3 linked regions of the Astyanax mexicanus genome follow. The protein of the gene in region 1 binds, or shares a complex with, the protein of each later gene. Links are inferred from orthologs where the notes say so. Each region holds a gene or a part of one and is shown in the gene's direction. Other genes may lie near its edges. The genes, in order: nckap1, wasf2 and cyfip2.

Region 1 (10,683 bases):
TATTAATATACTGCCCATTATATCATAGTATGACTTTAAATCATGAGCAAGTACTGAATGAATGGACCATAAGGGCTAAAAGTAAAAACTCAAATTAAATATATTGTCTATATATTTGTGGATATCCCTTTAATCAGAGCTCTTATAATGCAATTCATGAAGTTTAGTCAAGGATAAAGTCCCGCCTCAAAACAAAAAGAGCCAATCAGATTGCTGATTGTGCCGAGAGTTTTGGAGGTTTAGCATAATAGTCTCTCTTCAGTGTGGAGATCTGCGCAGGCGAAGTAGCCGTAACAAGTCGAAAAATTAAGCGTTTTTTGTGCATTATTAAGTTAAATACTGAAAACTGTTTATGAGTCTTTTATCAGATTTTAAAAGCGATGTAAAATATGTTTCTAAAATGGTAATTAAACCTTCAATGTTTCATATTTTGGTCTCCTTTCAAACAGATAAAAGGCTGTTTTTTATGACGGTAAATATCAGCTTTTTCTTTATGACAAATCAGCCAACTAACTAACCTGTTGTGTACTTAAAGAAAAGCGTTGATATGTTACACTTAGTTTAATCTATATGTTGGTGTATTAGATGTATTAGAAGTATTAGAACAGTGAGCCGATCCCATTATTTCTGCTGTACACTAAAAATATTTTGACATTAAAACACAAATATAAGACGAAAGATCAACATTTCAGCTTTTATTTTGAGGTATTTACATCTAGATCTGATGCACAGATCAGAAGATAACATCTTCTGATAACATCTCTAAACATTTTTTTTGTGATGCTTTTGAAGGCTTTTAATGCTTTTTTGCAAGCCCAAGCCATGACACTACCTCCACTGTGTTTCACAGATGAGCTGGTATATTTAAGATCATGAGAAGCTCATGTACGTCTTGAACATTTCCAGCTTTCCATTCATTTTGCTGAATAGTGTTTTTTTGATCTTCTGGTGAAGCCTTGGTACTTCTGTTTATCAAGTTTTCTGGGAACAGTGGATTGAGATACCACATCACTCTGGAGGTCATTGATAATGTCACTAACATTTGTTTTAGGGTCTTTCTTTTCACATAATTCACAATGTTTCTGTCATCAACTGCTGTGGTTTTCCTTGATCTTCCTGTTCGACATCTACCTGTTACTCAGTACACCAATGACGACTTTCTTCTTCAGGTCATTTCAAACAGTTGTACTGGCTATGACCAATATTTGTGCTCCAATGGCTCTGATTTCATGTTGGTTTCTTCTCTAATGCCCGGATCAGACTAATTTAGCCTGATTTTGGCTCGATTTTGTCGAAGCTGACAAATTGCCTGCATTTGATCTGAATTTCTGAAATGCAATCCGGGGTGGATTTTTACTTTCTGGACCTGGACTACCCACCTCTGTCTGTAAGTAACTATAGGTTTAAATAGGATCTCCAGTGGATTTGGTGTTTTACAGAGACTCTAAGTCTAGATCAGTGGCTGAACTGCACTTAGCAGGGCATTATTACACATGTTGTAAAGTAACATATAACATTACAAAGACTGTTATTAGCATAAAAATGTCTCTATTTTAACTGTTGTCCATCTTGCTTGCTCCCTCCTGGTTTTGCAGTGCTGTTAGCCAATCAGAGGCGATATGTTTGCATAAATGAATATTCATGAGCAAGAGCCAACATCACCTCCACTCCTCCACAGGACTAAAGCAGTGTTATACCGGATCACCGGAGCACTTTCATTCATACTAGAGACACACAACTAGACATTTTTAAAACAATAAATAAATAAAGTTAATTAAAAAACGATGGATTGAGACCTTTAACCGTGTATCAGATGCAGGTGTAAATACCTGGAAATAAAAGCTAAAATGTTGATATGTTGATATGTTGTGTCTTATATTCATATTTTAACATAAAAACCCAAATGTTTTCAGTTTTCTAAAGCAGACAAAAACTAGTAAATATTTATAAAGCTCTAAAATTTGCATCACTTGACCTTGCCTAACAACGACTGGAAACTGGAAGTCATTGCCCTAACAAGCCCTGCATGTGTGTAAATGTGTGTATAGGTGTGTATATGTGTATAGGTGTGTATTGGTGAGTGTGTATAACTGCATATATGTTTCAGGTCATCCTGTACCTCAGCCTTGGCCTGCTCTATGAACTGTGTGCACTCCTGCAGGTGGGAGATGATGTCAGCGTCTGGCAGATCCAGTATGCTGAGTGTTTTATAGATGAAGAGGTCGGGGAAGGCGTTCTCCACACCGTACGCTACGTTCAGTATGTGTGTGACCTGAAATTAACACAAAAATATATATTTTTAAGATAAAAAATACAAATATAACACTTAATAATGCTAAATAATAAGAGAAAATACACAGTAAATATGGTACCTTGTATTTTCTCAGAGTGGCGAAGTCGTGGGCAGCATCTTGTGAGCCTGCAATTTAAACGCCACGCCATGAGGACACATATATTATTTAATATAGTTAATAGTTAATTTAGTAAATACATGTAGCATATACTGTGTAGTAGAAATTAGGCCTGTAACAATAATTGCTGGATTTATATTGTGTTTATTTATTATGAGAAGAGCACATTAATGTGAATGAGCTGGTATGTCACATTTTTATTAGTTTTATTTAAAATATTTAGAAAATATTCAAAATATAACAAAATATATATTCATTAATCATTCATTTAAATAAAAAATTGGGACATTATATATTATCCTATAGAAAATTATAGATAGTTATATTGACATGTAAAATATCCAGTTTTCAATGTTTTTGGCTATATGTTATATATAGTTCTATTTATTTATTTAATACCTGTATCTCAAAACAATCTGAAACTGACAGTAATATCTTATATTCCAATAATTTATCATTAAATTAAAACTAGTTATAGTGAGAGGCCTTTTGGTCGTTGTATTTATTTAATGAGGAGAGCATGTTAATGCGAATAAGCTTGGTTTTTTAGTTTTTTTCTCTCTTTTATATGTCTTGCATATTAAATTAAAAAGATATTTAAACTTTTTTTATGAATATTTTTTTCTGATTATTAATATCCTTAATAAAAGCTGTATAATTGCATTATCATGCTATTATATTTTCAGTATATCATTATAGAAGTGAAATAATTGGTCATAAAATTACAATAAAAATGTGTGTTTATTCTTTACTACTATTACTATTGTAATGCAGCCTATTTCTTATTATTTGTTTTACTTATTTATCTACATTATTTAATGAATTTCTTAATCTCAAGGTCTCTTCTCTTTTTACTATTTACTATTATTTATTGATTAGCTTATTATTATATGTGGCATAAATTGAAATCTGTCACAGTGTAAGACCCTCCATGTAATGCCTGAATATAGATAATAATCACAAGCTACAGTTTTATTATCATTATATTATTATTATGTTTGTCATAAATATAATAATTTATGAGTCAGTATATTGTATAATAAACATTTAATGATTGTAACAGGACTATTACAGATTAATATAGTAGTAGTAACTATTGCATGACCCACAAAATCATCTGTATATCTTATTAAACTAAATAAATTAAATAAGACAGGTGTAAATTAAGTTTTTCTGGTTTATTCAGTTATAAATAAACCAGCTGAAGTCAGATAGGCTATGTTTACCCCCCTCACCGAGCAGTAAATGGGGTCTGATGAGTCCCACTTGCAGGTCCCAGGTGTTGTCCTGTACGTATCCGCAGGCGCTCTCCGGCTGCACCGTGTCCTCCACCACATGCACCGTGGACCCCTTCCATGTCTCAATAATCCTCCTGCCGCTCAGGGTGGTCACCCGGGTGCATTGTTTCCTCAGGTTGGTCTTGGAGAAGGATTTGATCTCTTGGGCGAGCGACTGCATCACATGTGTGTGTAGATGTTCCTCAGTAAAGCAGAATATAACGTCCCGGTGTCTCCGCAGCAGGCCTGTCCCTCGTTCTGCTCCACCTCGCTCTGCTGGCCTCCTTTACAGCCTGAAAACTGAGAAGGGTCATCCTTACCTGGGCATGATGAACACCTGAGCGCTTCAGAGCAGTGCTGCCACCTGTAGGATAGAACTGACTGTAGAATTCAGTTTTCCATCAACGATGGCAAGTCATCCATGCCAAGATGTAGCAAAACGGGCCAAGGCATGATGCTCCCACCACCGTGTTTCACAGATGGAATAAGGATTTTATGCTATAATATAATTTTTTACAACCGAATTCTGTGACTAATCGTAACCAATCAAATATTACAAAAATAATACAAATACAAATAATACAAAAATCAAATCGGATGCAAAACAGAGAGGCTTCTAATTGACCTGTTCTCTGCAAAGAGTCTGTGAGTCAGCCAATCAGTTTTTTAGTGTGGGCGGGCAGTTTTTTTTACCCCTGCTGGACAGGATGCGTTCAGTGAGTGAAAAGAAGCATGCATGCAAGAACCATATATATATATATATATATATATATATATATATGCACACAGCTCTGCAAAAGAATTAAGAGACTACTTCAGTTTCTGAATCAGTTTTTTCTGATTTAGGTATAGTATAGGTATACGTTTGAGTAAAATGAACATTGAAAAAAGTTGCAGAGCTTACAGACCTCAAATAATTCAAAGAAAACAAGTTCAAGTTCATAAAGTTTTAAGAGATCAGAAATCAACATTTGGTGGAATAACCCTGGTGGTTTTTAATCACAGTTTTTTTTTATTCATCTTGGCATCATGTTCTCCTCCACCAGTCTTACACACTGCTTTTGGATAACTTTATGCTGCTTTACTCCTGGTGCAAAAATTAGAGCAGTTCAGCTTTGTTTGATGGCTTGTGATCATCCATCTTTCGTTGGATTATATTCCGGAGGTTTTTTAATTTGGTAAAAATCAAAGAAACTTTTTCCAGGGCTCAGGGGCGGACATATGTCAGAGGTCTGTGTGCAGCCCGAGTGCTAGTTTTAGCCTGTTAGGTTGTTAGATCGCTAGCCTGTTGTTATGTTGGCGTGGTTGCAGCCGATAGCAACCATCGTAAATTTAAGCAAAAAAGCAACGACTGTAAACATCTTTCTCGTCCATCCTTTCAATGTGACCAGCCGGACGCTAAAATATTTTTTTATTAAGGAAAATTATAAAAAATAGTAACGCACAGTTACTTGGATATTTAACTTTAATCTGATTATTGGATTGGAAATAGTAACACTTTAGATTACTCGTTACTAGAATAATGGACAGATTAGAATATGTGTTACTAAGTAACTGACATCTCTGTACCTAGCAAACAATATATGTTATAAAAATATAAGATTTTATAAGCTCAAAATCAGCATTACAACTAGACTAGCACTGGGCTTTAATTTTAATGTTACTGCAGTTACTGCAGGAAATCTGCTCTTGTAAATTTCAAATTGGCCATAATAACTTTTCTTTCAAATCTGGGGTGGCAGCTGCCACCCTGTGCCACCCCGATAGATCCGCCCATGCCAGGGTTGTATATTACATTTACATGTATATAGGCCCTTTAATACAGCTCGGCAATTTCCGGAAACACTCGGCTAGGCTAATCGGCAGCGTTCGGTAAAGTCCGGCTCGGATCGTGGGCGAGCCTTCGTGCGTGCTCCTCCCTGCAGCGCTGCTGTTGCAGGAAACAGGACGACAGGCAGGGCAACACCTAGAACCGAGCCGAGCCGAGCCGAGGGAGCGGTCCGCCCCGGAGTATGGGCCTGTCTGAACACTAAACAACAGCACCAGCCGCAAGCCCGGTTCCCTAACACTACAGAGCGCGCGGTGACGGACCGAGAGAGGCTTTATTCAGCGCGGTGCGGAGCTTTGTGTCGGCGCCATGTCGCGGGCAGTACTGCAGCCCAGTCAGCAGAAGCTGGCCGAGAAACTCACCATCCTCAACGACCGGGGCCTCGGCATGCTCACCCGCATCTACAACATCAAGAAGGTGAGCGACAGCGGGGCGGTGCACTGATTTAACCCGGTTAAACCGGACCCGGGTCCGGCTACAGCTTCATACACGCAGCTATAGCCGAGCCGCTCAGGTCCATTCAGCCGTTCAACAGAACGATAGCTAACGATTAGCTTAGCATAGCTTAGCATAGCTAACGAAGAATCTGCGGGGAGGCCGAGCTCAGTGCGCTGTTATTAGCTAAGCTAACTAGCTAAAATTAATGATTAGCTAGCTATTGCTATAGTTAACGTTACAATTTCGTGCTGAATGTAGTGTTTTTGTCCATAAATCTGCTTTAAAAACTAGCGAAAATCATAATAGCGTTACTAGCTGACGTTGTGTAAGCTAGTTAGCTAACGTTAACGTCAGCTAGTCAATATTATGTAGCTAGCTAGCTATGTGATTTATTATTTATTTTACCATAATTATTTTACGTTTAGCTTTATTTTAATAACGTTTTTTAAACGGACAGTGGGTCTAAAAACAGGTTATGGCTCATTTTAGATGTATGTTTGTATCTAACGCTAATGGTGTCAGTTTCGCTAACACTCGCTTTAATGGTTTGCTATCTATTTAGCTAGTATCTGGCCGCTGGTGAAGGCGTGTGGTGTAGTTTACGGGTTATGTTTTATATTTGTTTGTTTATAAGCTTAAATTGTTAATGGAATATGCTTTTAGTGTCGTTTATTGGGGAATGTGGTTTTATTTAAATGATAGTCCGCGTGGTTTTTCTTCATAATGATATCAAACACCTAGAGACGTTGATTTGTTGTTGTTACTCGTCTACCACACCCACTTTTTATACTCCTACTCATTCCTACTCCTCCACACCCACTCATACTCATTCCTGCTTCTCTGTGTCCACTCACTATACTCGCAAACATCCATACTCCAGTGTCCACTCATCCTTCCACACCCACTCACTATACTTATCCCTACTCCTCTATGTCCAGTCATACTCATCCCTGCTCCTCCACACCCACTAACTATACTCATACCCATCCCTACTCCTCCACATTCAATCATACTCATCCCTACTCCTCCACACCCACTAATTATGCTCACTCATCCCTACTCCTCTATTCTGTGTCCACTCATACTCATCCCTACTCCTCCACACCCTCTCATACTCATCCTTACTCCTCTGTGCCACTCACTATACACACATTCATCCCTACTCCTCTGTGTCCGCTCGCTATACTCATCCCTACTCCTCTGTGTCCGCTCGCTATACTCATCCCTGCTCCTCCACACGCACTAACTTTACTCATACCCCTCCCTACACCTCCACATTCACTCATACTCATCCCTACTCCTCTGTGTCCACTCACTAATCTCATACTCATCCCTTCTCCTCCACACCCACTCATTTTACTCACTCATCCATACTCCTCTATTCTGTGTCTACTCATACTCATCACTACTTTTCCACACCAACTCATACTTATCCCTACTCCTCCACACCCTCTCATATACATCCTTACTCCTCTGTGCCACTCACTATACACACATTTATCCCTACTCCTTTGTGTCCGCTCGCTATACTCATCCCTACTCCTCTGTGTCCGCTCGCTATACTCATCCCTACTCCTCTGTGTCCATTCATACAAAACCCTTCTACTAATTACTGCAATTATCCATATCATCCTCTAATCAGTAATACCTTCCCCAAGCACACACCATTTCCTCCATACCAACTCAACGGTACCCCTAAGCATGTATACCTTATATATATATATTTACTACACCTTCCCACCATGTCTGTTAATCCACACCCACTCATCATACTAGGGCTGCACAATATTAAACACATTATTAAACTTACTATACTCTTACTCATCCCTGCTCCCTTGTGTTTACTTATACCTTTCCCACTACTAGTCACCTAAATCATTCATACACTCCCCAATTACACATACCCTCTCCATGCCCACCCCTATTTCTTGATGCTAACCCAACTGTACCCCTAATCACTCATACCTACTATTACCCATGCCATGATTGATTTTTGTGGGGGTTTGTCATTTTATAGTAATCTGAAATGATTATAGAGTTTTTGTTGTTTTTAAGTGTGTGGTATGAACGGTAGCTAGTGGACACCAATCATAATGAGTTGCAATTATTGCATTTAATGAATGTTGTATAATTATTCAGTATATGCCTCTCTCAGTTTCGTCCATCTTTGTCGTCTGAGAACTAAGATTATTGTAAGCTGCTGTAATTTAGTTCTGATTCTGAAGTATGAATGAAGTACATACGGTCAGGTTGGACATTGTGATGCTATAAGGTGTGTTTTTCAGTATTTGATTGAGTTACTGATGATATATGGTCGGAAAATGCTGCGTCAATAAGGCACAAATGTTGTCAGTGTATATATTATCTCCAGTATACTGAGAAAACTGTATTATAGCATCATATCGGAGTTTATTTGTCAAATTAATACAGTAATTCACAGTAATCCAACTAGTAGTCAGATACTTTGATGACTGTCTGACTATAAAACAAAAAAAAATGTAAGAAATATTGTAGTAGAGGTGAGATGTGTACAGTTTAATGTCTGATGTAATAATGCAGTATGTGAATATGTAAGGATTTTGAGTATAACATGAAGAAATGTGAGTTTAGTGTTCTCCAGTATTATAATGATTAGTAGGCCTGTATTAATACTTATGTTACTGGCTAATTGTACAACATGTAAACCTCAATAAGTTTTAATAGCTTCAGTATTGCCTGTTGTGTTTATCTTATCAGGATATTTTGCATGGTAGCAGTAGATTCATGGTTATCTTCTTTACAGAGTCTTATTCTTTTGGCAGTACAATATAATAGTCTCTACAAGGACTGGACAAGCTGTGTGTGTGCATTTGCATATCTGTTTTAGCAATGTGTGCAACTTTAAAGTAGTTTTAAAAAATCAGAAATAAAAAAAAACATCCCAGTCATCTGGAAGAGTTTTGTGATATTCTGGTCTGCTGGTTGAGAACCTCAGACAGTACACATCAGGATTAACCAGCAGACTTCGTCTGAGGAAGGGATCTGTACTTACTGCCTGTGGCAAGTCAGCAGAAAGTATGAGCTTCTAAATATGACTGCTGACTTAGGCTTAAGCACTTAAGCACAAACCTTCTACATTTAGGTGTACATTTGTACACCACACGGCTGTGAGGATTTGATTGTATTCCGTGAGGGAGCATTAGTGATGGTTATGTTTATCTTCTCCAGAGGGCCATATTGTATTGGCAGTACTTTTCTACAAATATTTGGATCTATATTGTCAGATTAAATTTGATTGATCAAGTTAAATTATTAAAATACTAATCCCTCCATACTCCATACAGCCCTATACTCATCTTCCCACCCCATACTCCTATATACTCATCCCTTCCCAGCCTGTACTAATCCATATTCATCACTTCCCAGCCCATACTCATCCCTTCTCAGCCCATACTCATCTATACTCAGCCCACACATATCTTTACTCATCCCTTCTCAGCCCGAACTCATCCATAATCATCCCTTCCCAGCCTGTACTAATCCATACTTATCCCTTCCCAGACCATACTCCTCTATACTCATACCTTCCTAGCACCGTCCTAATTCATACGCATTCCTTCCCAGCCCATTCTCATCCCTTCTTAGCCTACACTAATCCATACTCATCCCTACCGAGCCTGTACTAATCCATACTCATTCCTTCCCAGCCCATACTCCTCTATACTCATCTGTGCCCATCCAAAACTAATCCATACTCATCCCTTCCCATCCCATACTAATCCATACTCAATCCTTCTCAGCCTGTACTAATTCATAATCATCCCATCTCACTCCGTACTCATCCCAGCTCACTCCACTCATCCATGGTCTGCATACTCATCCGTACTCATCACTTCCAACCCCATACTCATGCCTTCCCAACCCGTACTAATCCATACTCTTCCCTGCCCACCTCATACTCATCCCTTCTAACTCCATACTCATCCATGCCCTGCATACTCATCCATACCCACCCTTTGCCCACACGTCCATGCTTGTCTATATACTCACCCCTTCCCAACACGTATTCATCCATTCTTACTAATAATCTTCCCATGCCTACTCTATCCCTACCCATCCATACTTTTGCCTAGTCATCCCTACCCACTTGTGCCCACTCTGTTCTCACCCATGCCTACCCCATACTCCTCCATATCCTCCCTGATCGTACCCGTTTCTACCCGTACTCGGCAGTGGTGATGTTTTACCCGTTACTACAGAATGTTCTGAGGGGGAATCTCAGTGCAGTTGAGAATTAGTTCTTTATCTCGGCTCTAAAACGATCTTCACACCAGTGCTGAAGAGCTCAGCTTTAAGTACATTACTGTGAGAATAGTGTGTGTGTGTGTGTGTGTGTGTGTGTGTGTTAGGGTTCTTAGGCCGCTCTGACAGGCTTGGCTCTGTTGGAGCTGAGCGGGAGTCGGTCCAGATCTCTGTATAAAAGCCAGAGGGATGTGGGGCAGGGGCTTCATCCATTCTGTCTCTATCTGTCTCACTCTCACACACTTCTTTCCAATTATCCTCATTTATCCTCTCTCTCTCTCTCTCTCTCTCTCATTCTCTCACACACACTCACACATGCTCACTCGTTCTCCTTCACCCTTTCATTTTCAAATGGGGCAGTGGTGGTTTAGTGGTTAGAGCTCCAGGCTAATAATCGCACGGTTGTGGGTTCGATACCCGGGTTCAGAAAGCTGCTGTTTTTTGGGCC
Region 2 (10,931 bases), on another chromosome or scaffold:
TAAATATCTGCACTATTTCACAAATTAAATACTCCATTCATCATTCATCCTCTATGACGTTGCACAAACTCCAATAATCCACATGGCCTTGCTATGAGCACATTGGCAGTTCACAAGATAACATATCACAACTGATACAGGTGTGGATGTTTTCTATGAGTTCACAACTTATAACCAATTTACGTACTGCTGTCCTATGACTTCCGGCATGACATTAATTAACAAGTGTCCATATTCCATTCTTGAAGTGAAGGACAGTGGCGGGAGCATCTACATGTCTTGTTTTCAGCAGCAGGGGCTGAGAGGTGTGAGAACTGAAGGAAAGATGAACAGATCAAATTACAGAGAAATCCTGAAGACAGCTTTATGGTGAGAGTTAAGAGTTTAGGAGCTCAGATTGGGGTGAAAGTTCATCTTCTCACACAACCTGAAACTCACAGCCCAGACAATACAGGAGGGGTTCAGAACAGGTCTGTGGACATCTGTAGCTCAGACTTTAGTAAGGTTTGAAATTTGAACTTTAAAAATGGAGCCCTGAAGGTAGTGGTATATCAACACTCCCCATAAACTGGACAAAGCTTTAGAGAGTCTGCAGAGTAAATGGATACATACAAACAGAATAAAGTATATATTTAAGGTCTGATTTATACGTGCATCCTCTTCTGTGCTGTTACTGAAGACTATTATTTGTGGAAGAAGTCATATCCTATATTTTTCTTCCAATTGATTTTTTTCTATTCTGACATTTGTGTGTTTTTATGTACCAAATGCCTATGTTTATACCTTTAGAATTAACCAGGCTTTTTAACATGCCTTTACGAATAATGTGCAGTGTTATGCAATTGTTTGGAAATCTTTGGAAATCAAATAATGATGTTTTTTATTAAGAAGTATTAAACACAGCCTCTGTAGCTAATCATTTAATAGCAAAATCATTAAATACAGTGCAAAGCAACTCTGCCTTTTCTAACATTTCTAACATAAAAAATCATGTTAATGTTCAGACACCTTAAAATTTTCTAAAGCTCAGGTTTTTTTTTGACAAGGTCTCAGATCTTGATTAGCGATTTAGGCCTGAGTCATGTCACTACTTGTAATTAGAAACTGTCAGCTGAATCAAATTAAAGCTTACTCTCAATTTGAAGGTTTGAAAGTATGCGGCAAGTTATGGATGATGACTAATGAAATCTAAACAAAGCAGAAATGAGAAAAGAAAAAAAACACATTTAATGAAAAGAATGTCATGCCAACTGTAAAGCATGGGGGTGGTTGCATTGTATCATAAACTGAAGTTGTATTGCTGCAAGTGTCAAAATTGCGTGATTAAAAAAAAGAATGAATTACACAAAATACCAGCGAATCCTAAATACAAACGTAGTGAAGCTAAGAAAAAAATATGTATTTTACAATACCTCAAATCTCACTGCAAGTTGTCCAGCCACCATTATTTATAAAAAATGCTACAGTTAAAATAATTCCACAGTTAATTCCAACCCTGCAATGTGATTGGTTGAGAGGCATTCTATGAGTGCCAATAACAGCAGGTAATGCACTGTAAACGAAGCTCTCAATGTATTACTCTGCCACATACAGGTAACCCAGCAACGATGCAGCGCTTACAAGCCAAACAGCTCAGCTACAAACAGAGCAGCAATGGAACTATTTTAACTCACAAAGTGTTTATAACCAAACAGATCATATTTTCTTGTCCTCTTTACCTCAAATCTTTGAATAAACAGCAATAATGGAACTGTGGTATAATCACTATAATACACTTGAGGTGCGTGCTATAACGTGTAATATTGTGCCAATATTATGAAATGCTTTGATTTAATTATATAGTAAAAACATTGTGGACAGACAGATCTACAGGTCTTCTGCAAAAGAGAGTGTAACATTTTCTACAACAAGAACAGAACAGCCTTTAACTGTTATAAATAATTGTTTAAAGGTGTTTTTCAAGGTGATGTCCAAAAAACAATATTAATAAATATTGTGTTTTATGTTTTATTATTTTTGAAGCTGTGCTTCTTTTTGCTCTTTTGTTAAATTAGAGACAAAAAATGTGTCACTTGGCCTGTAAGTGCTGTAAGTAAATTGTCTCTGTTGTGATTGGCTGCTCTGTACTAACCTCATTCAGAAAGCTATTCAGGCTGAACCACTCCTGATTGTAACATGTATTATGAATGGGTGCAGCTAACAGTAAACTGAACAGGCAGATACTGTGTGTGTTAGGGCTTAAGGAACAATAAATTCAAGTTCTTTTATTTTAACTGTGTAAAATATGTTTTTCTCTGTTAGAAAAGGACCGAGTTTGTTATTATGATTTGTCATTATTAGGTATTATTAATACAGTGACACTTTCTTTTGTTTGTCTTCTGAGTGTGGTGTTCGCTGCCATCTAGTGGCTAAGTTTGAAGCTGCAGCTGTTTTGTTTATGAACTCCAAAGGCCTTGCTTTCTCTCAGTGCTTTCTGAGTTAGCAGCCCACATTTCTGTAGATATAATGTTGCTGTAGCTGTTTTGCTGTGTACCACGTGCCATCAGATTTACATTGGGTTCTTCACATACTTATTGTGGATGAATGGCACTGGACAGGCTTATGGCAGATAAAAATATCAGAAAAAGAAAAAAAAACACACATACCTTATCAGTGTTATTGTTACAGAGTTACCCCCCACCCCTAGCCCTCTTCATAGATAACTGGAAGTAATAGTTCTTTCTATAAACAAGCTGCAGGATATGCAGTAGTTATGCTAAATCTGATAACCACTTCAAACATTTCACATACTTTACATTCTTCACTGGATCACTTACAGCCAGATACAAAGCTGTATTTCTATGTGTGATTACTGGTGTGCTACATTTACCGAGGATCACTAGAGAAGTAACATGTCTGAATCCATCTGGTACATACTATCTGCCAGCTTCCGTCAGCTTCTCCTCAATTAAGCTTGATGGAAAAAGCCAAGCATAGCCAATCAGCAACTGTGTGATTTCAACATTTTTTGTCAGGCACTTACCTGCTCAATTAGTAAGCAATAATAAATTGTTAGCAATTTAAAAAGCAATAGATTGTTTGCTCAGTTAAACTGAAGCCTCTCCATGTGAACTTGTTTTATAATATGATTTATTAAATTAAGAGAATGGGTTGAAGAATTGAGGAAACGCTTCATTAAACTCATAGAGCTGATTGTTTCACTGCAAAAAAAATGAATCTTAGCAAGTGAAAATATCTAATTTCAAGGCAATAAATCTTATTTTTTTTGTTTTATTAAGCATTGTAAGTGTAAGATAATTTTGCTTATTTCAGTAATAAAGATCTTAATACGTTTTACTTATGATTTTGTAACTTATAAAATAAAACTCATAATATAAAACTCAACATGAGCACAAAAAGTGACCAGGCAAGTTATGCTGGTTATTGTGTCCAAATTTAGGTCGCAAAATAAGCGATTTTTGATTGATTTAAGTCCTAATTAACCCGTTTTGAGATTATGCAATTGCTTATTTTAAGAAATGTAATAAGAATATATATCTCAATTCACATATATCTTATCTATTTTTTCCAATATAATTTTTGCTGAGTTCATTAAGAAAAATATTTATTAAATAGTGTTAAATTTATGTACTGGTTTATGTCTCTGACTATTATTCTGTTCTACATTGGTACTCTTTATATATGTTATATATGGAGGTCAGGGTAGGACTGGGAGTTTAATCAAATTCAGTTGATTCATCAAATGTTAATGCCATTTTCAAAATGTACATCTTTACACATAGAAGGTACCAGAGGGAAACTCAGTAGATAGACAAGTTGCTTCTGCCAAGAGTAAAAAAATACTTAATACATAAATAATAACACCTTCTGATCAGTCTTCTGAACTAGTCCATGATTTATGTATCTGTTCTATAGGAGTGATGTTGCACATACTCTTGGTTGTTTGATATGTTCTCACTGTGGCATTACAGTTTTTCTCAATTGGTTTGGCTCATTTCTTGAAACTGAGATGACATTCCTATAACTATAAGGTAAATTGGCCAAACAGACTTACAGTTCTTCACAACACTTCAGATAACCAGCAAAATGTCATATGTCTCCCAAAATGTTCGTTCTTGCTTCAAAATGAAGTCTTTCTCCCATGTAAATAGTCAGTACCATAAAAATGGCATAGATCCTTCTCAATTGCTTTGGCACATTTTCATTCATTTCGTCCTCCTGTCAAAATAAACTGTACGGTAAAGCACAACTACATGGATCCTCATCACATGCCCATATCACTCCAAAAACAGTTTACCCACGTGTCAAAACTAATTTCCTTTCTCACACAAATCATCAGTGCCCCCAAAATGCATTGTCCCTTTGGCATTGTGTAAGTACTGCAAGTCAAAATGCTTAGCTGTTTTGTCTTTACAGCAGAGGTTTAGCTAAAGGAATACAATTTTCACACCACACACACTGCACTCAATCTGCTGAGGAAAGTGTAACTATTTTTATTTACAAGTACATCTTTACACATTACTGTAGGTAGAAAAAAAATACAAAGGAAAATGTATCAAATATACTATGTATACAAAATACAAAAACCTGAAAAAAACAAAACAAAACACAGTATGTAAAAGAAAACAGTCAAGCATCACAAATGCACTACAGTAACATTCTGACTATTCTGTGTCACTCCCCTCTCTCTCCTGGTCACCCTCCTCATCTTCCTGGCCATCCATCCGCTGCAGTCTGTTTGGCCATAAATTTTCATTAACATCGCATTTGATGTGTTCTTTAGCAATGCACTGTGGGAAGAAGCGTGGTAAATGCCTGAGCCATCCTCTACACTAGAGGTCTCTAATAGGCGGCCCGCTGTCCGGGTCCGGACCCAGACGTTATTCAATGCGGACCCAAACCGATACACTACACAGAAATATCTTTATTCTGAGAGTGGTGGAACTTTTTTTGTCTTTGCTCTGCGGCGCAGTAAACTCACAGACCACTCGTTTGGTGTAAAATCACCAAATGCTCTCTCTCCTCTGCCAATCAGATCTGTGTAGACTGCTGCCCTGGCCAGTGAATTGGGACGCGGCCGGGAAAAACTTCTATATAAAGAGATCAGGAGCCGGAGAACTGGCTGAAAAACGAGAACGGACGGAAACTAAAGACACGCTGAGTGCGACAAAGAGACAGGAATGTACACACAATTATACAGGATATAGTTAAAAATGGCCCGGACCTTGCACTGACGAAATTTTCTCCAGCATTCAAAATCATAGACAACCTGTCAGGTAACAAACTGATGGATTGGTCACCTGTAATGTGGGACACTCATCAAAACCTGCTTTCACCTGTTACCTAATCACCTGATTATCATGAATTTATGAAATGTTCCAAAATATGTGTTCTGTATTGAATTACAATTTCTTAACTCATTTTGAGAATTGAGCAGACTATTCTGCAGATGATGACTTATACGATGAAATTGTGCTGACATGTTTTGGAGAGAACAACCATAACACTGAGAACCAACCAATTGGGATAGACCAACAAGATGCATTCTTTTGGAAAATGTGCTAAATGTAGGATGATTGTGTTAAGTGTAGGCTACTTGTACATAACCATTTGCAAAGATGTACTAAGTGCTTGAGACATGTACAAAGCATTTGAAATGTGATGAAAGCAATGAGAAATGCCATTCTGTTGTGAGGAACCGCAAGTTAGTTTGGGGATTTGTCCATATTATTTTGTAAATGTCATCTCAGTTTCAATAAATGAGCCAAACCAATGGAGAAAAACTGTAAGAGGGGGTGAATTGGAGTGGGAGGAATTGTCCAAAATACTGAGTATTTTTCCCAGCATCCTCCTCTCTGAAACCTTTAAGAGAGTCCAGCTCCACACCCAGTGCAGAGCCTGCTTTTCACCACAGAGTGATAAAACATCTTCAGCATTTTTTACACATATACAGTATTCAATAACTTGCGCATCACTTTAAATAATGATGTCTGTTTACAAATTTAACATGCTAAATTTGTTATGTAAGAATTAAAAATCTTAATAGCAATGGAAAATCAATCATATATATAATTAAAGAATATCGAGATTATTTTTATTTTTTACAGTATCGCCCAGCCCTACAACAGGGTGCTGTCCTGTTTCTCGTGCCTACACCTTTAAGCAGAGATTTGTGGAGCTTAAAGCGAGCATCTCTCCATATTTCGGATGTGTTGGAGCAGGCCCGCGGGTCAGGAATGCCCAGGCCGCGCTACTCCGCCGGGAACAGATGTTTTCAGCCCAAACGGGTGGAGCGCTGCTCTGCTCACAGCCACGACCACAGCCACACCCCTTCTGTACAAGACTGACAGCTGAATCAACCAATTGCGTGTGAGGAGCTACTTAAGCCGTCCAATGAAAAGTTAGTAAATCCGAGCCTCTGAAGTCAGCGCCCGATTGCTCTGGTGACGGCAGATGCGGACATTTTTCTCGGTTAGAGAGAGTTGAGCTGCGAGTTTCAGTAATGTTGAGGTAGTTAGCGAATTAAAGTGGTTGTTCGACTTCAGCAGAGAGGAGCTGTATCTTTCACCCTCGGGTAAGAGAGTTCAGGAAGTATTTTCAGGGTTTAATTCAGAAAAATAGCGAGTTTATGCTGTATTTTGGGCTGTTTAGGCGGCTAAGCTAACCTAGCTAACCAAAGATCTGGCTAGCTGCTAACTGCTTACTTCCTGCTGTGGAGCTCAGGGTGGGCCGCCCTGGGAGTTTTGCTCTCAGAAAGTTGAGAAGTTTGCCCTGTCTAATAGTTTGACGTCTAATATTTTACAGAATGCTTTAAAGTGCTTAAAACAGACCTTTATCTCTTTATTATCTGTCTAAACTCTTTCAAAACGAGTCTGATTTCGCTGAAGACTTGACTGTAAGTTACCTCCATACTGTGGCTAAGTTTTCTGGTTTATTATTAGCGTTAGCCATTATTTAATCCTTTCGATACGTTTTTGATACTGTACGTCTGTAGTCAACTAGTGAGTTAGGTAACTACATTTAGCGTTGTTTTATATCTGACTTCTGCTGTCACTTAATAAATGAAACTTCTGTTGGACGTTTAGTTAACGTTACCTTCATCTAGCTTGCTAGTACTTCCAGTTAGCTGTAAGCTAGTTCCAGGTCTTCTAAAGTCTGCTGTAAATATGCAGTAAATCTCAGTATGGATTAGCTACCTAGGTTAACTAGCCACTAGCTACTGTAATGCCTAGGCCTGCTATTTGGGTTGTTTGTAGCTACCTCCCTAAAGATTTGATCGTTTGTTTTATTAGTTTTTTTTAATTACATCTGGGTGTGTGTTCGTGTAGAGTTCTGTAAACTTCCTCTAAAAGAGGAAGGTCAGAGGACTTGATGGCATGCAGCTGTGTCTATGTTCCTCTGATAGTTACCCATATCAGCTGACAGTTATGGTGCTTAAATGTTATATTTAATAAAATAAAAAGTGTATTTTATGAAAGATGAAAAATATGTGAATGGCACTAGTCACTAACGTAAAACCTCAAACTTTTAAGATGTTTTGACATTTTGATTACAGCTGCAACTAATGATTATTTTGTTAGTCGACTAATCTGATGATTGTTTTTTGGATCAGTCAACATTTATTTCAGTCGTGACTTCCATTGCTTTAAAATGAAAAACATCTAAACGTAGGGTTTATATGCCTTTTAAATTACCAGAAGAGGTTTAAATGTGGACTATTATTTAGTGAGTAAATGTGCTATCTGTTGTGTTGGGGATCATTTACAGCATAGACATTCTGGTTTAAAATGCACATTACCATAATTTTACTCACTTTTCCTTTACCTATTGCACAACATTGGTCTGCACATACACATCTGTATTGCTGCACTTCATGCTTTACACCCAACAGTACCATTTTTTTCTTTTAACAGTATATATTAGACTACACATTAAAACTAAAAAAACATCATATTTCTGTATGTATCTATATGATAACAAGACAATATAAGATAACCATATTTACCATACTTGTGCTTGAGGCACAGATGGAATGTGGCCTTTACCTTAATACCATTAGTGTAGTGAACACGCCTATACACACCTGTGAGCAAGCTCACAACATATTTTGTAATCTCTCTTAGCTGGTCCTTTATTTTTTTTTAAATATGATTATCAGAGTTACTGATTACTATTAGTTGTACCATGAAAGACTAATTTAATTTGGCTTGATTTGAGCACCAGCACAATGGGCAATAGCTTTAGCTTGAATTGTTTTTTTGTTTGTTTGTTTTTTTCACAACACAGTGGAATTTAGTCACCACCTGATTTTGCAACATTTGGGGATTAAAGCATTGTGTGTTTGTTTAGAGTTGGGTCTAAACTGTACAGGAAAACATGTGCTTGTGAAAAGGTACTAATCAAGTGCCACTGTCTGAAAATATGCTGTTACATTTATAGATATATTTATCAGTCATATCACACTTTTTTATGTTAATTATACTACTTTAAAGGCTTGTTTCTATTTTTTTCTAGTATTCTATTCATAGTTTTATTACATTTTAGTGTTAAATAATGCTGTCCTGACAAGAGAGTCTCCCTGACCTTCCTTCTTTATGTGCTTGTATGTATGTCCAACAATGAGACAGTGTACAGAGTAACCCTAAACATTTCTATTTACCATAGTATTTCTAGTATATATAGTATATCTGAATCTGGACCGTGTTGAGTATGTCTGAACACTAATGAACTGTCAGCAGGATTTTTCAGTAGGTGCAGTGTCAGTTGGAGTTTAAAAACATAATGCTTTTATCCTTTCTATGCAGATTAGAAATTTATATATTCATATATATTATAATATATATATATTCAATATGAATGAATGTCATAGTTAAATGACAGTGGCAAGAAAATACATTAAATTATTTCTTTAAATATTCATTCTGGATGTGTTGCTGTTCTGTTAATCATCGGTAGAAAAGGTAAACTTTCTACAATACATAGGGAAATTTATTGCTTTTTATAGCTTACATAAACCCAGAAGGAAATGCCTTTTTACACTGATAGAGTGTGAATGCAATTACAATAAGAGATGTATCTATTTGTGGGCCTAGACTAACAACAACATGAAACGGACAGGCAATTCTAGACTGTTTAGTTGTTTAAATAAAAAATAGAACCTAAAAAGGAAGGCATGTAGCAGTTTTGGTTCTGCTTTAAGCTCCAGCAGTTTTGGCTATGTGTTTCCTCTTGCATTGGGAAAAGGTGCATGTGGATGTGTGCATGGAAAAACAAGCGAGCATGAGGACCATGAAGCATGCATCCATAAAGAATTACCAGAAATGAGGGTGTGAAGCCTGTGGTCTGTCTGATTTACTCTCTTCTGTTCTCCAGGGAGGAGAGAGACTAAATTGTCATCATGCCTTTGGTGATGCGGAACATCGAGCCACGGCACCTGTGCCGCCAGACTCTGCCCGCCGCTGTGAAAAGTGAGCTGGAGTGTGTAACCAACTTCACACTTGCCAACATCATCCGGCAACTTGGCTCCCTAAGTGAGTGGCTCCCCCTGCAACTCCTGTTCGAATTTCAGATTGACTGTTTGTGGCTGACTCTGCATATCTTAATGTATCTGTGTTGTTGTGTGTTCTATCCAAGGCAAATTTGCAGAGGATGTGTTTGGCGAGTTGTTTGTCCAGGCCAGCTTGTTTGCAGAAAGAGTGAACACGCTTGGCGAGCGGGTGGACAAACTGCAGGTCAAAGTCACACAGCTAGACCCTAAAGAGGAAGAAGGTAAAAACAACACAAGGAGATCACATTTAAAGATTGAGACTGACTGGTTAAACAAATAGAATCAGGTCTGCATCTACTCTGCTTGATCTGAATTAAATCAAACTATTCCCAGGCCTGTGTGGTTTAGATTGATGAGCTATGTACTAGAATTATTCTGTAAATATTATATATGATATATAACTTAAATGGACATAAGCATTGGGACATACCTTCTGGTCAATGAGTTCAGTCAGGTGTTTTATTAATGCAGTCTGCCTTTTCAAACAATAGTAAAAAGAAAGGTTTTAAAGAGCCTACTAAATTCCATTGTGGAACCAGCTAGTGACATTTTATTTCCTCTTAGATACTGCACCGTCAGCTGTGAGTGGAATTACTGAAAAGTCTAAGCATTTAGGAACAAAATGGAAGATCAGTTAAAAAGCAGTCGTGTGTAGCATAGTGTATATAAGTGAGCAGTGCTCTGCTGACTTAACAACTGCATAATTCCAAACCTGTTTTTACAACTGGAAAAGGGGAACCATCTTAACCAGAACTTTCTGTGTTACATGATGGGTGGTATTCAATAAACATCCTAGTTCAATAAGAGTATAAACAATAACAAAACCAGCTTCTATGTCTGTTAGGAACAGTCTGAATGTTTTAAAAGCTCAGATATCTGTTGCGATTCACACAGCAAGGACGAATAACACTTTAAGTTCTTTTTATATATGTTGACTTTGTTTCTGTGTAAAATAAACCTGTTTGAGAAGCAATTTGATACTTGGATACTTTATATTCAGCGGGATATCTGGGTAATTATAGGTTACATCAAATACATGAATCACTAACCAAATAAAAAATTCTGTGTAAAAGCTTTTACAGCAGCCAAACCAGATAACTGTTGGTTATTTCTAACTTTACACAGCTGAGAATTTGGGAAATATGTTATTCAGCTTTATTATAGTTTTTGTTTTAGCACAACTGTGTTAGACTATTTTTGTTTCAGTTTCACATTTCCACTCACATGCATTGTTTCCTTGCATAGTTTCTCTGCAAGCCATCACCACTCGGAAAGCTTTCCGCTCTAATCTGACCCAGGATCAGCAGCTTTTCAGCCGACCTTCTCTGCCCCAGCCAGTACAGGATACCTACTTGACCTGCAACGAGCCTCCTCCACTCAGCAT
Region 3 (10,636 bases), on another chromosome or scaffold:
CTGTCTGCTGAGGGCATGCTCTCTACATGATCACCTCTCATCATTTTCTGCTGGACCCTGCAGGCCTGTGCTGGATGATCTGTACGTCTGCTCAACCGGCTCCAAATTCGCCATGAAGTGGTCGTCACCAGAGGTGATCAACCACACCAAGTTTAGCAGCAAGTCAGACGTGTGGTCATTCGGTCAGTACGACGTAATTTCTTAATTTAAACCTGCTGTATTTAGATTTAAGTAGAAGTTATGCAGATCTAAATCTCTAACCTCTACATAATACAATATTATAAACTGATTGTGATTTTTTAAATGAAAAACAGTAGGTTTTTCCACCATTTACAGCTCTGGAAAAAATTAAGAGATCTCTTCATTTTCTGAATCAGTTTCTCTGATTTTGCTATTTATAGGTTTATGTTTGAGTAAAATGAACATTGTTGTTTTATTCTATAAACTACAGACAACATTTCTGTGTCCCAAATTCCAAATAAAAATATTGTTATTTAGACCATTAATTTGCAGAAAACAAGAAATGGCTGAAATAACAAAAAAAAGATGCAGAGCTTTCAGACCATAAATAATGCAAAGAAAACAAATTCATATTCATAAAGTTTTAAGAGTTCAGAAATCAATATTTGGTGGAATAACCCTGGTTTTTAATCACAGTTTTCATGCATCTTGGCATCATGTTCTCCTCCACCAGTCTTACACACTGCTTTTGGATAACTTTATGCCTTTACTCCTGGTGCAAAAATTAAAGCAGTTTAGTTTGGTTTGATGGTTTGTGATCGTCCATCTTCTTCTTGATTATATTGCAGAGGTTTTCAATTTGGTAAAATCAAAGAAACTCATCATTTTTAAGTCTCTTATTTTTTTTCCAGAGCTGTATTTCTGTTTGCATATACACTGACCTGCCAACAGTTAATCCTTTTATTTTTATTTTTTTCCTAATTCAACTTTTGTTTTTATTTTTACCATTTACTTTTTTAGAATATTAGTGTTATTCTTATGTACTTAATTTTTTAAGACTGAATCTGAGGTAAGTGATAAATCAATATTGCCTTAACTATTCCTTCACCTCCTTAAGCTCTGTGTATTTTTATTACATACTAAATATTACTAATGCAGTAAATATATCTGAACTGTATATTAAACATTACAACTTTGATGATAAATGATATTCAGTATAGTATGTCCTCCTCCTGAAGTATGAGCTCCTATTGATTTAACTGGTCTTGGTAATCTCAGGTGTGCTGATGTGGGAGATCTACAGCGAGGGGCGGCTGCCCTACGAGTATCGCTCCAACGCGGAGGTGATCGAGTCCCTGAACGCCGGACAGAGGTTACTGCAGCCCCGCCTCTGCCCAGAAACCGTTTACCAGCTGATGCAGTGGTGCTGGAAAGAGGTGAGTGAGGATTTTTCAGTGGCATCACTAAGGGTTTTTACAGTAGATTTAAATTCTGGCATGCACAGCACACATTTTTGGGCTTTTATGTATGGCGTACAATTTTACGTGAGGCATGGGCTTTTATGCCCGGTGTGCGTTTCTAATCAGGGCATGGGCTTTTACACATGACTTGCACTTTTACGCGTGTTTTTACTCATGGCCTTTTATGCACAATTTTACATGAGGCATGCACTTTTATGCATGGCGTACAATTTTATGTGAGGCATGCGCTTTTACGCACGCCTTTTAGGAATGACATGCTCTTTAATGCACGATGAACGTTTTTACGCAAGGCATGGGCTTTTACGCACAAATCCTGCTTTTTCACCATGAAGGGTATACACTTTTATGTATGCCGCAAGATATTATGTGAGCCATGTGCTTTCACACATGCTGCACGTTTTTAAGCAGGACATGGGCTTTTATGCATGGCACCTGATTTTATACAAGGCATGCCTTTTACACAGCGATTGTGCTTTTCGGCATTCAAGGCATATATGTTTTGCACTGTGCACGATTTTACATCCTCCACTGAATGAGCTTGTAGGCACGGAAGGCATGCATCTTTACCCACTGAATGCCCTTGTATGCATGGCACCATTTTTACGTGAAACTTACGTTTTTCGGGCATAGAATGCCTAGACCTAAATTATTTCCAAGGCATGGTAATATTTTTTTTAACATTGTTACTTGTTGATATTGATCTTACTTTAATTTAATACAAATGAACCCTTAATTTTTCATTTTTGGCTCAAGTGCTGCCGTGCCCTACTACAGCTGTTTTCCAGTGAGGTGGGTGGGGCTGTTTTATTGGCTGGAAAAGTTTTTAATTGGTCTATTCTGATATGTTATTATAAACTTAAAAAACAAATATTAACAACACAATGTCCTTAATAGTGGATGGAGGGTCTGAAAGTGTTAAAAGTGTACCTAGTGCCTGAGGAGCCCAAAGTGACTGAATGCTTCCATTGCTTGAGAGCAGAAAAGGCCATCAGCATCACAGTAGAAGCATGAGTTTGGCAGATTTGTGAGGCATTTGTCTTGTTTAATCTACTGTATTAACTGTATTATTATAACGGCATGTCTTCATTTAATTCTATTTTATTTCTAATAGAAACCTGAAGACCGGCCGTCCTTCGCTCTGCTCCTCCATCAGCTGGCCTCTCTTGCTGACTTCTGAGCCATGGATTGTGTTAAATTTCATACACAAATCAGAAACCTGAATATAGATATATTGTACAGTTTATAGCAGTTTATTTATTTGTAAATTCTATTTATTTCTACATTTTTTATATTTCTGAGCAACCTTGATCTAATGGATCAGCCTTTGGTGCCTTAGTAGATAAATATATGGTAAGCCATTTTTGCCTAAAATTACACCAGTGATAAAGTCCTAACTTGTATAATGTACACTGTAATAATATAATATAATTTTTTTTAACTATTAATAATAATATTAATTGATCTAAAACTGATCTGAGTTTGTCTAAGTCAAAATTACAGAGGAGATGTCTGCAGTCACAACATTTACTAGTTAAAAATGCTAATTACTAGTTCAATTGTAATTTTTATTGGTATACTAGTGCATCTAAAAAAAATGTATACTATCCTTGAAAATTACTTTATTTCAGTAATTTAGTTCAAAATGTGAAACTTAAATATTGTATTTTATAGATACAACACAGAGTGATTATTTCTCCTATTACTATTGATAATGGATTACAGACAATAAAACCCAAAAATCAGTGTCTCAGAAAATTAGAATATTATATTAGACCATTTGGTACTTTTGGCAGTGTGGGCAGTGTACCAAATCCTGCTGGAAAATGAAATCCACATCTCAATAAAAGTTGTCAGTAGCAGAGGTTCAGCATGAAGCGCTGTAAGATTTTGTGTGAAAACTAAACTGCACTGACTTTAGACTTGATAATAAAAACACAGTGGATCAACACCAGCAGATGACATTAGATGCACTAGAATACTGAGTTAGAACGTATATCAATGGTGTGTTTGTAAGCTAAACCTATTTGCTGTATAAACTCTTGTAGTGTAGCTGCATTAAAACACTTCTGCTCTTCTGCTCTAGAGGGCGAACACAAGCTATTTAATAAACTAGATAGAGCTTCAGCCTCAAAACTATTCATTACTGTATTATTTACTTCATTTACTGTATTATATTTTTTACTGTTGGTTCAAATATTATGTATCATAAGTCATTTTAATACCATGTTTTATTTTTAATAAAAGCAAAAAAACCCTAATCAGACAAATATACCATGTTTTAATCTGTGACCACACACACACATACACACACACACACACACACACACACAAACAAACACACACGCTTTAAAAAGAACAGGATGACCAGACGAATGGACTTACTATAGAAGCCCATGGTGATACACACACCCACTCACCCTCACACACATGCCTCCTTTGGTTACTGTGGAAACCACACAAGGGTTACACACACACACACACACACACACAGGCTGCCAGGCCTCACTATGTATCAAACAGCCCAGAGCACATGGTCGGCTCACCTCATATTTTATTGAATGTGTTTCCAGTGGGGTTATCCGCTCTGTTGTAGGCTAATGAACTAGCATGAAATATTCAAGCAGACAGCTACTTCATTTTTTCAATTTCCCTATCAGTTATTATCTAAACCTTTCACCACTCACTGGAACAAAATGACACCAAAGCAAATGACTTTTAATAGGAGAATGATGTGATCTACAATAGCTTAAAGGGGACCTCTTTTTACACAGGTTAGAATAGGTATATGGTCTATACAAAACATACACTGAGTGTTTATATCTTACATAGCTTGTGCAGGCAGTGGGTACAGAGCCCTCACTCAGACAAAGTCTGCTGCCTAATCCTGCTGTGTACTGTCAGAGGTTCTCAGGAATGGTGCCAGGGTGGTTCTCTGCAGGTTTTCTTATTGTGATGTCACAATAAGAAGCTAGGGAAACATCCAATCGGTACATAGAAGCATATGATTCCTGACGCAAAAAGTGAGTTTTGTATAATACACACTATATTATGCTATATTAACCATTACAGTGGAAAGTCAGTCACTTCTGGTCAAATAATATGATTATTTATTTTTCTCTATGTTTTTTCTCTATATAATAAAAAGAATATTCTCTATAGAGACACACTTCTGCATATTTGACTGTTTATTTGCTTCAACAAATTCATCCAGAAAAGGATTATTATTATTTTATTCCCACTTGCCATGCTATGCCCATTTAATATCATATGCAATAATACATTTTAATTAAAATTTTTGCAGTAGTGTATTGTTGATTTTTTTTTTATTTAGCGTTTTGTCATATCGAGTATCGTTATCACAAGAATACCATGAAATATTCTGATCTTATTTTAGGGCCATATCGCCCACCTCTATGCCTTGTCCGGACGGGATTTGTTTCTCAGGGAGTCATGGTGGGGCTCCTCTGTGATTTTATTCCCGTCCGGAACGACCATGTATGTGTTTTTCTCAGACGTCGTCTGAGAAAATTACAGGCTGAATTACCTACTGTTATGTACTGAATTACCTACTGTTTGCTGAACTCCATTCTCTTCCAGTAATTTTAGTCCCATCCGGAAGCACATCCGGAGATCCATGTAAAAATACTACAGCGAGTGGAAATGGAGGAGCTACTGAACACAATGTCATGTGACCAAGAAAGCCTAAAAAAACTTTCTTGCATCCATTGCATTCTGGATGCAGGAGTTTAATCACTGAGTAGAAGTGTTAAATATTTTAGATTTCATGATTTATGAGGGTTTGAGGTAGTTTGGGTGTTGGGTGGTTTTGTGAATTGTATTTAGTATTTAATAAAACCAGCCGACTAGTTTACAAAATTATGTTTTAGCAATTGAAAAAAAAAAAAAAAACACCAGTAATAAACACCAGTATTTATAATTTGTTTGTTTGGCTAATGATAACTCACTCACAGAGAGGCAGCTAAGGATACCACTTTAAAATTAGACTCCTTTATTAAGGTTTTATAAATAGTTTATAAAGGCGTTTTTTAAGCGTAACTTACAACACCTAAATAGAAGGAACAACAGTGACTATAACTTAACATGTGTAATTGAATAATACAGAAAAACGTTAGTCATTTAATATGTTATTAAAGTTAAATGAATAAAGTTTTTAACAGACATTTATTACTTAATATCCATTAATAAACTGCTTTATAAGTATTTATAAACCCTTTATAAAAGAGCTTTTTAAAGTGGTACCCAGCTAAGCTAGCGTTAGCTTAGCATAGATTAGCTTAGCATAGTTCATGTTAGATAAATGGGCCTCTGTCACTTTAAGAAAAGCACTTGCAGCCATTTTCTGCTCTTTGTGTGCGGGGTGGGTGGATTAGCGGACGGGGCTGAAGCCGGAGCATCAGTCGGTGGAGATCCAGGAGAGAGGCACCCTCCCCCGGCTTGTGTGAGAGCCGAGTTGCGCTTTGGCCGGTCCGTTCGGTTTCGGGCGGACATGAGATTTGCGGGTAGGCTGTGAGCTGGGCTGTGTGTGTGTTTAAAGCGCTGGGTCTGGTGATGAGGAGGAGGTTAGATAGATAGCGGGATGATGGAGGCTCGGCGGGAGGGAGGAGGAGGAGGGGACCTGCTGCTGCTGCTGCTGTAGTTCGCGATGCGCCGTCATTTTTTATCACTGAGACCCGTCTAGTCCTGCTGTTTGCTGGTGTTTCTGCTTGTTTAGCGCGTTTCTCGGGTTTGTGGTTTTATAATAAGTATAATATAGAGGCGCTTGTGTGAACCAGGCATCCGTTCATTCAGTAGAAGCGGTGATAGCGGCGGTAGTATCAGCGGTGGTGCTGCTGCTCCGCTGCCTCACTGAAAGAAGCATCCTTCCCCGTTATGGGTGGGGTGAGGGGAGGACTGTCGTCAGAGCCTCCATACGAAGAAATACTGATAAATATCTGGGTTTTCTCACTGATTCCGCCTGTTTTAGATGCAGATTTGTATTTATTTGCTGTATAATAATAAGAAATAGCTTTAACGCGTGTGTTTTGTTAGATATATGGGTTATATTAAGGTGGCTCTTCTCAGTGTGGGCTGTAATATGGTTGCTAGGTTAGCTGGTTACTGCTGTTGCTAGCTAATCTAACGCTAAGCTAACTAGCTAACGTAACTAGCTGTTACTGTGTTTTTATAACGTTAACCTATTTAAACAGCAAATTTCTGCACTTCTTCTGGAAAAATGGGTTATAATAAAAAAGTGTTGTTTTAAATAATTCTAATATTACATATGAAAATACAATTTGGCATAAATATACGTGTTTCATAAATTTCACTTTCGAATTTGTATTAAATAATAATGGTGTAACAAAATAAAGAAATATAACAAAAATAATGTAATGTAACAACAGAAATCTACCAAGTTCAGCATATTTAGTGCACACAAATTGCAGAAATCTTGGACTTCCTGGAAAAAAATGTGTTATATTAAAAGAAAGCGATATTTTGAGTTAATTCTAATAATAAATATAACATAAAATCATACATTCAGTTGAAACTTAAATAAAAATCTAACGTTATAAATGCCTGTCTGTTTTGTAAACAGCAACTTACCAAGACCCTGAATTTGTATAAAATAATAATGGTTAATAATAATAATAATAATAATAATAATAATAATAATAATAATAATAATAATAATAAAAAACTTATCAAAATAAATACAAAACAGTCAATACAAAACGAATTTTTGGACTTTGTGCTATATTTAGAGAAAGTGATGTTTTGTTTGTATATTTCCTAAACAGTAACTTGCCAAGACCCTGAATTTGCACTATATAATAATGGTGTAACAAAATGAAAAATAGAAACAAAAATAATGCTAACTACTGCTTTCTTGAGTTTTTTTTTTATCATGTCAAGAGTTTTTTGCGATAATGTTTTTTACAATGAGATATGGCACAAACCTACACAAGCTACACATTTGCACTCACTTTGTTTACCCCATATTTTAATAGTAAAAATGACCGATACCTAAACTGAACAGCTGGGGCACACTAAAAATTAGGTAATGTCTAACTAACATTTCTTAGTATATTACACAAAAAATACCCCTTCCTTACTTGTCATCAGTGTGTGCTACCTTTCGTTGGATATTTAGTTATATTTAATAAGATTGAATTTCTGGCCACAGTGTTGTAAACCATAAAAAAGTGACCATATTCTTTGCTGTGATTTGCGACTTCATGCTGACTGAGAACTAATTAATTTTATCAGGTAATGTGATAATAGGGTGGCAGAAGGGAAACAGGAAATATTGATCTATTTAGTTGTGTGAAAGGTTTATCTGCCCTAAAACAATAGCACAATATTTCATGGTATTTTTACAATAACGATACTTTTGCCAATAAGACAAAACACTAAATTAAAAGAAAAATTAAATAACACACTACTGCAACAAAATGAAAATACAATTTTACTATTGCATACATATAGCACACCCCTAACGGATATATTAAAAAATACAAGAACTTTATCAGATTTGTAACAGAAGTCAATAATCCAGAATGTCATGATACTAATAATAATGCACTCCAAATATCTCAATATATCCAAGATTAAAGTAAAATAAATGATACTGGGCAGATATAATCTGTTTGTAGTAGATATATAATGGGAAATGAGAACAGTGTGAATTTTTCTTTTGCTAAAAACTGCAAAAAGTAGTACCCTAATGTGATAATTAGGGCTGGGTGATATGGCACCATATTTTAGGTTGTAATATCATTCACGATATTAAAAAGGTTAGCAATATTATTATGTATAATACTATATGGCACACTGCTGGTCCAAAGTGCTGTTATGAACTGTGCTAACCTGAGACATGCTCTTTTGAGACCAAATAAGCATAATATCCCTCATTTTTCACCAGTGTGTTCAACCTATAAGCCTCCATTACAGAGACGATGAGAAACAAATGATATTTCAACAGGTTATCAGCTGGTCATCGGCTGTCAGACGGTGCCCTTAGCACAGAGTATGAATACACTGCTTGTTAGTCATCAGTCAGTACATCACTCACTGTAGCCGGCCTGTTCAGAGCCTCAGTGTAATTTCATAGCCTGAAGGAAATCCATCATAAATCTATGATGTAATCCAGTCCGGTGCTGAGGCCGATGCTAAGTTGAACAGCATTCTCCACTCTGCTATCATTCTTGAAGGAACAGCGTACGGCATTGTGTCCAGTATTAATACACTTTGTCTTTATAATAGAGTGATCTGACTGATGGACCTGTAGTGTGTTACAAATTCATACAAACAATCGGCAGATTGAGGCGTGAAACCTGTTCATGCATCTTGCCATAGGCTGCCAGAGCTCAGAGAGAGCACAATTCGTCTTGCTCTCTCTGGGTGGGTGATGTGGATCAGCACAAGGCGTCTGTGAGCTGATGTATCAGAACCCAGTTGCTGCTCTTACCCTCGAGCGCACTGTGATGCTACTTAGTAATGCTGCATCAGCAGCAGTTCAAAAAGAGGCGGTGGCTGACTTCACATGTGACGGAGAAGGCGTGTGCTAGTCTTCACCCTCCTGGTGTTGGGGCATTACTAGTGAGGATTTGCATAGAGCTGCTTGGCCATGACGACTCTCCATTTCATGAGTCTCTATACACTCTGCTGTTGTTCATCTAATCTAAAGCTACATGAAGTTTGGAGGTGTGTAGTGATGAACTCTGAAGCTACATTAAGTTTGGAGGTGTGTAGTGATGAACTAATCTGAAGCTACATGAAGTTTGGAGGTGTGTAGTGATGAACTCTGAAGCTACATGAAGTTTGGAGGTGTGAAGTGATGAACTCTGAAGCTACATGAAGTTTGGAGGTGTGAAGTGATGAACTCTGAAGCTACATGAAGTTTGGAGGTGTGTAGTGATGAACTCTGAAGCTACATGAAGTTTGGAGGTGTGTAGTGATGAACTCTGAAGCTACATGAAGTTTGGAGGTGTGAAGTGATGAACTCTGAAGCTACATGAAGTTTGGAGGTGTGTAGTGATGAACTCTGAAGCTACATGAAGTTTGGAGGTGTGTAATGATGAACTCTGAAGCTACATGAAGTTTGGAGGTGTGTAATGATGAACTCTGAAGCTACATGAAGTTTGGAGGTGTGTAGTGATGAACTCTGAAGCTACATGAAGTTTGGAGGTGTGTAGTGATGAACTCTGAAGCTACATGAAGTTTGGAGGTGTGTAGTGATGAACTCTGAAGCTACATGAAGTTTGGAGGTGTGAAGTGATGAACTCTGAAGCTACATGAAGTTTGGAGGTGTGTAGTGATGAACTCTGAAGCTACATGAAGTTTGGAGGTGTGTAGTGATAAACTCTGAAGCTACATGAAGTTTGGAGGTGTGTAGTGATTGGTGTAGTGACTCTGCAGAAAGTTGGTGAACTCTGTGAATTATGCTCCTCAGCATCCGCTGACCCCGCTCTGTTATTTTACACTGACACAGTCTCTTCTACTGTGTTATAATATCACTGACAGTTGGCTGTGGAATATTTAGTAGTGAGTTGTGAAATTTCACGACTGGACTTGTTGCACAGGTGCTGCATCCTATCACTGTACCACAGTGCTGGAGTTCACTGAGCTCCTGAGTGCCACACATTATTTCACTAATGTTTGTAGAAGCAGTCCCAGCATGACTAGCTGCTGCTTTTATTATTATACACCTGTCGACACAATTGATTCAGCAACACCTGAGTTCAATGATTTGGTTCTTTTCGGATTTATTCAATGTGATATAATTCTGAATCTGAAATATGAAAAATATATAAGCCACCACCTGTGGTGTATGTAATCACAAACTGAGAGAGCTGGGTGAAATTGTAAAAAATGTGTATTACAACATTAAAGGACATTTTTATGATGCACAATGTTCATAACAATATTTTGACATACACACAACATGCATCAGCAGTGTGCCAGATTCCTAAAAAGGTGCTATTCACATACTCTTTCATGACAAGTACAGTGAAAATAGTAATGAAATGTTTAGTTGGGTTAGTGTTCTTTAAGCATTGATGATAACCATGATATGCTTATTAAAGCATATTGTGAATACCAGGGTTCCAGACTAACACGGTTCCACCGTCCCAGAGACAGGATTAAAGCTTTTTTGCAACACTTTCAGGAGTTTTCTGAGACAGCTTGCTGGT

What was found.
Region 2: nckap1 (region 1) and wasf2 share a complex: the UniProt entries of both Homo sapiens proteins name them as parts of the WAVE2 complex. The link is inferred for Astyanax mexicanus from reciprocal best matches to the Homo sapiens genes NCKAP1 and WASF2.
Region 3: nckap1 (region 1) and cyfip2 share a complex: the UniProt entries of both Homo sapiens proteins name them as parts of the WAVE1 complex. The link is inferred for Astyanax mexicanus from reciprocal best matches to the Homo sapiens genes NCKAP1 and CYFIP2.

Annotation. Positions count from the first base shown.
Region 1 is NC_064418.1:49,916,225-49,926,907, reverse strand, and holds the start of nckap1 (nck-associated protein 1), read left to right. Parts: upstream 1-5,605; 5' UTR 5,606-5,825; coding exon 5,826-5,933; intron 5,934-10,683. Other genes in the region: dusp19a (dual specificity protein phosphatase 19a), read right to left, coding at 2,120-2,272, 2,373-2,419, 3,647-3,869. UniProt on the Homo sapiens protein: Part of the WAVE complex that regulates lamellipodia formation. The WAVE complex regulates actin filament reorganization via its interaction with the Arp2/3 complex. Actin remodeling activity is regulated by RAC1.
Region 2 is NC_064410.1:50,555,088-50,566,018, forward strand, and holds the start of wasf2 (wiskott-Aldrich syndrome protein family member 2), read left to right. Parts: upstream 1-6,428; 5' UTR 6,429-6,574; intron 6,575-9,372; 5' UTR 9,373-9,397; coding exon 9,398-9,530; intron 9,531-9,633; coding exon 9,634-9,768; intron 9,769-10,792; coding exon 10,793-10,931. UniProt on the Homo sapiens protein: Downstream effector molecule involved in the transmission of signals from tyrosine kinase receptors and small GTPases to the actin cytoskeleton. Promotes formation of actin filaments. Part of the WAVE complex that regulates lamellipodia formation.
Region 3 is NC_064417.1:49,387,177-49,397,812, reverse strand, and holds the start of cyfip2 (cytoplasmic FMR1-interacting protein 2), read left to right. Parts: upstream 1-5,805; 5' UTR 5,806-5,962; intron 5,963-10,636. Other genes in the region: itk (tyrosine-protein kinase ITK/TSK), read left to right, coding at 64-182, 1,240-1,397, 2,554-2,619. UniProt on the Homo sapiens protein: Involved in T-cell adhesion and p53/TP53-dependent induction of apoptosis. Does not bind RNA. As component of the WAVE1 complex, required for BDNF-NTRK2 endocytic trafficking and signaling from early endosomes.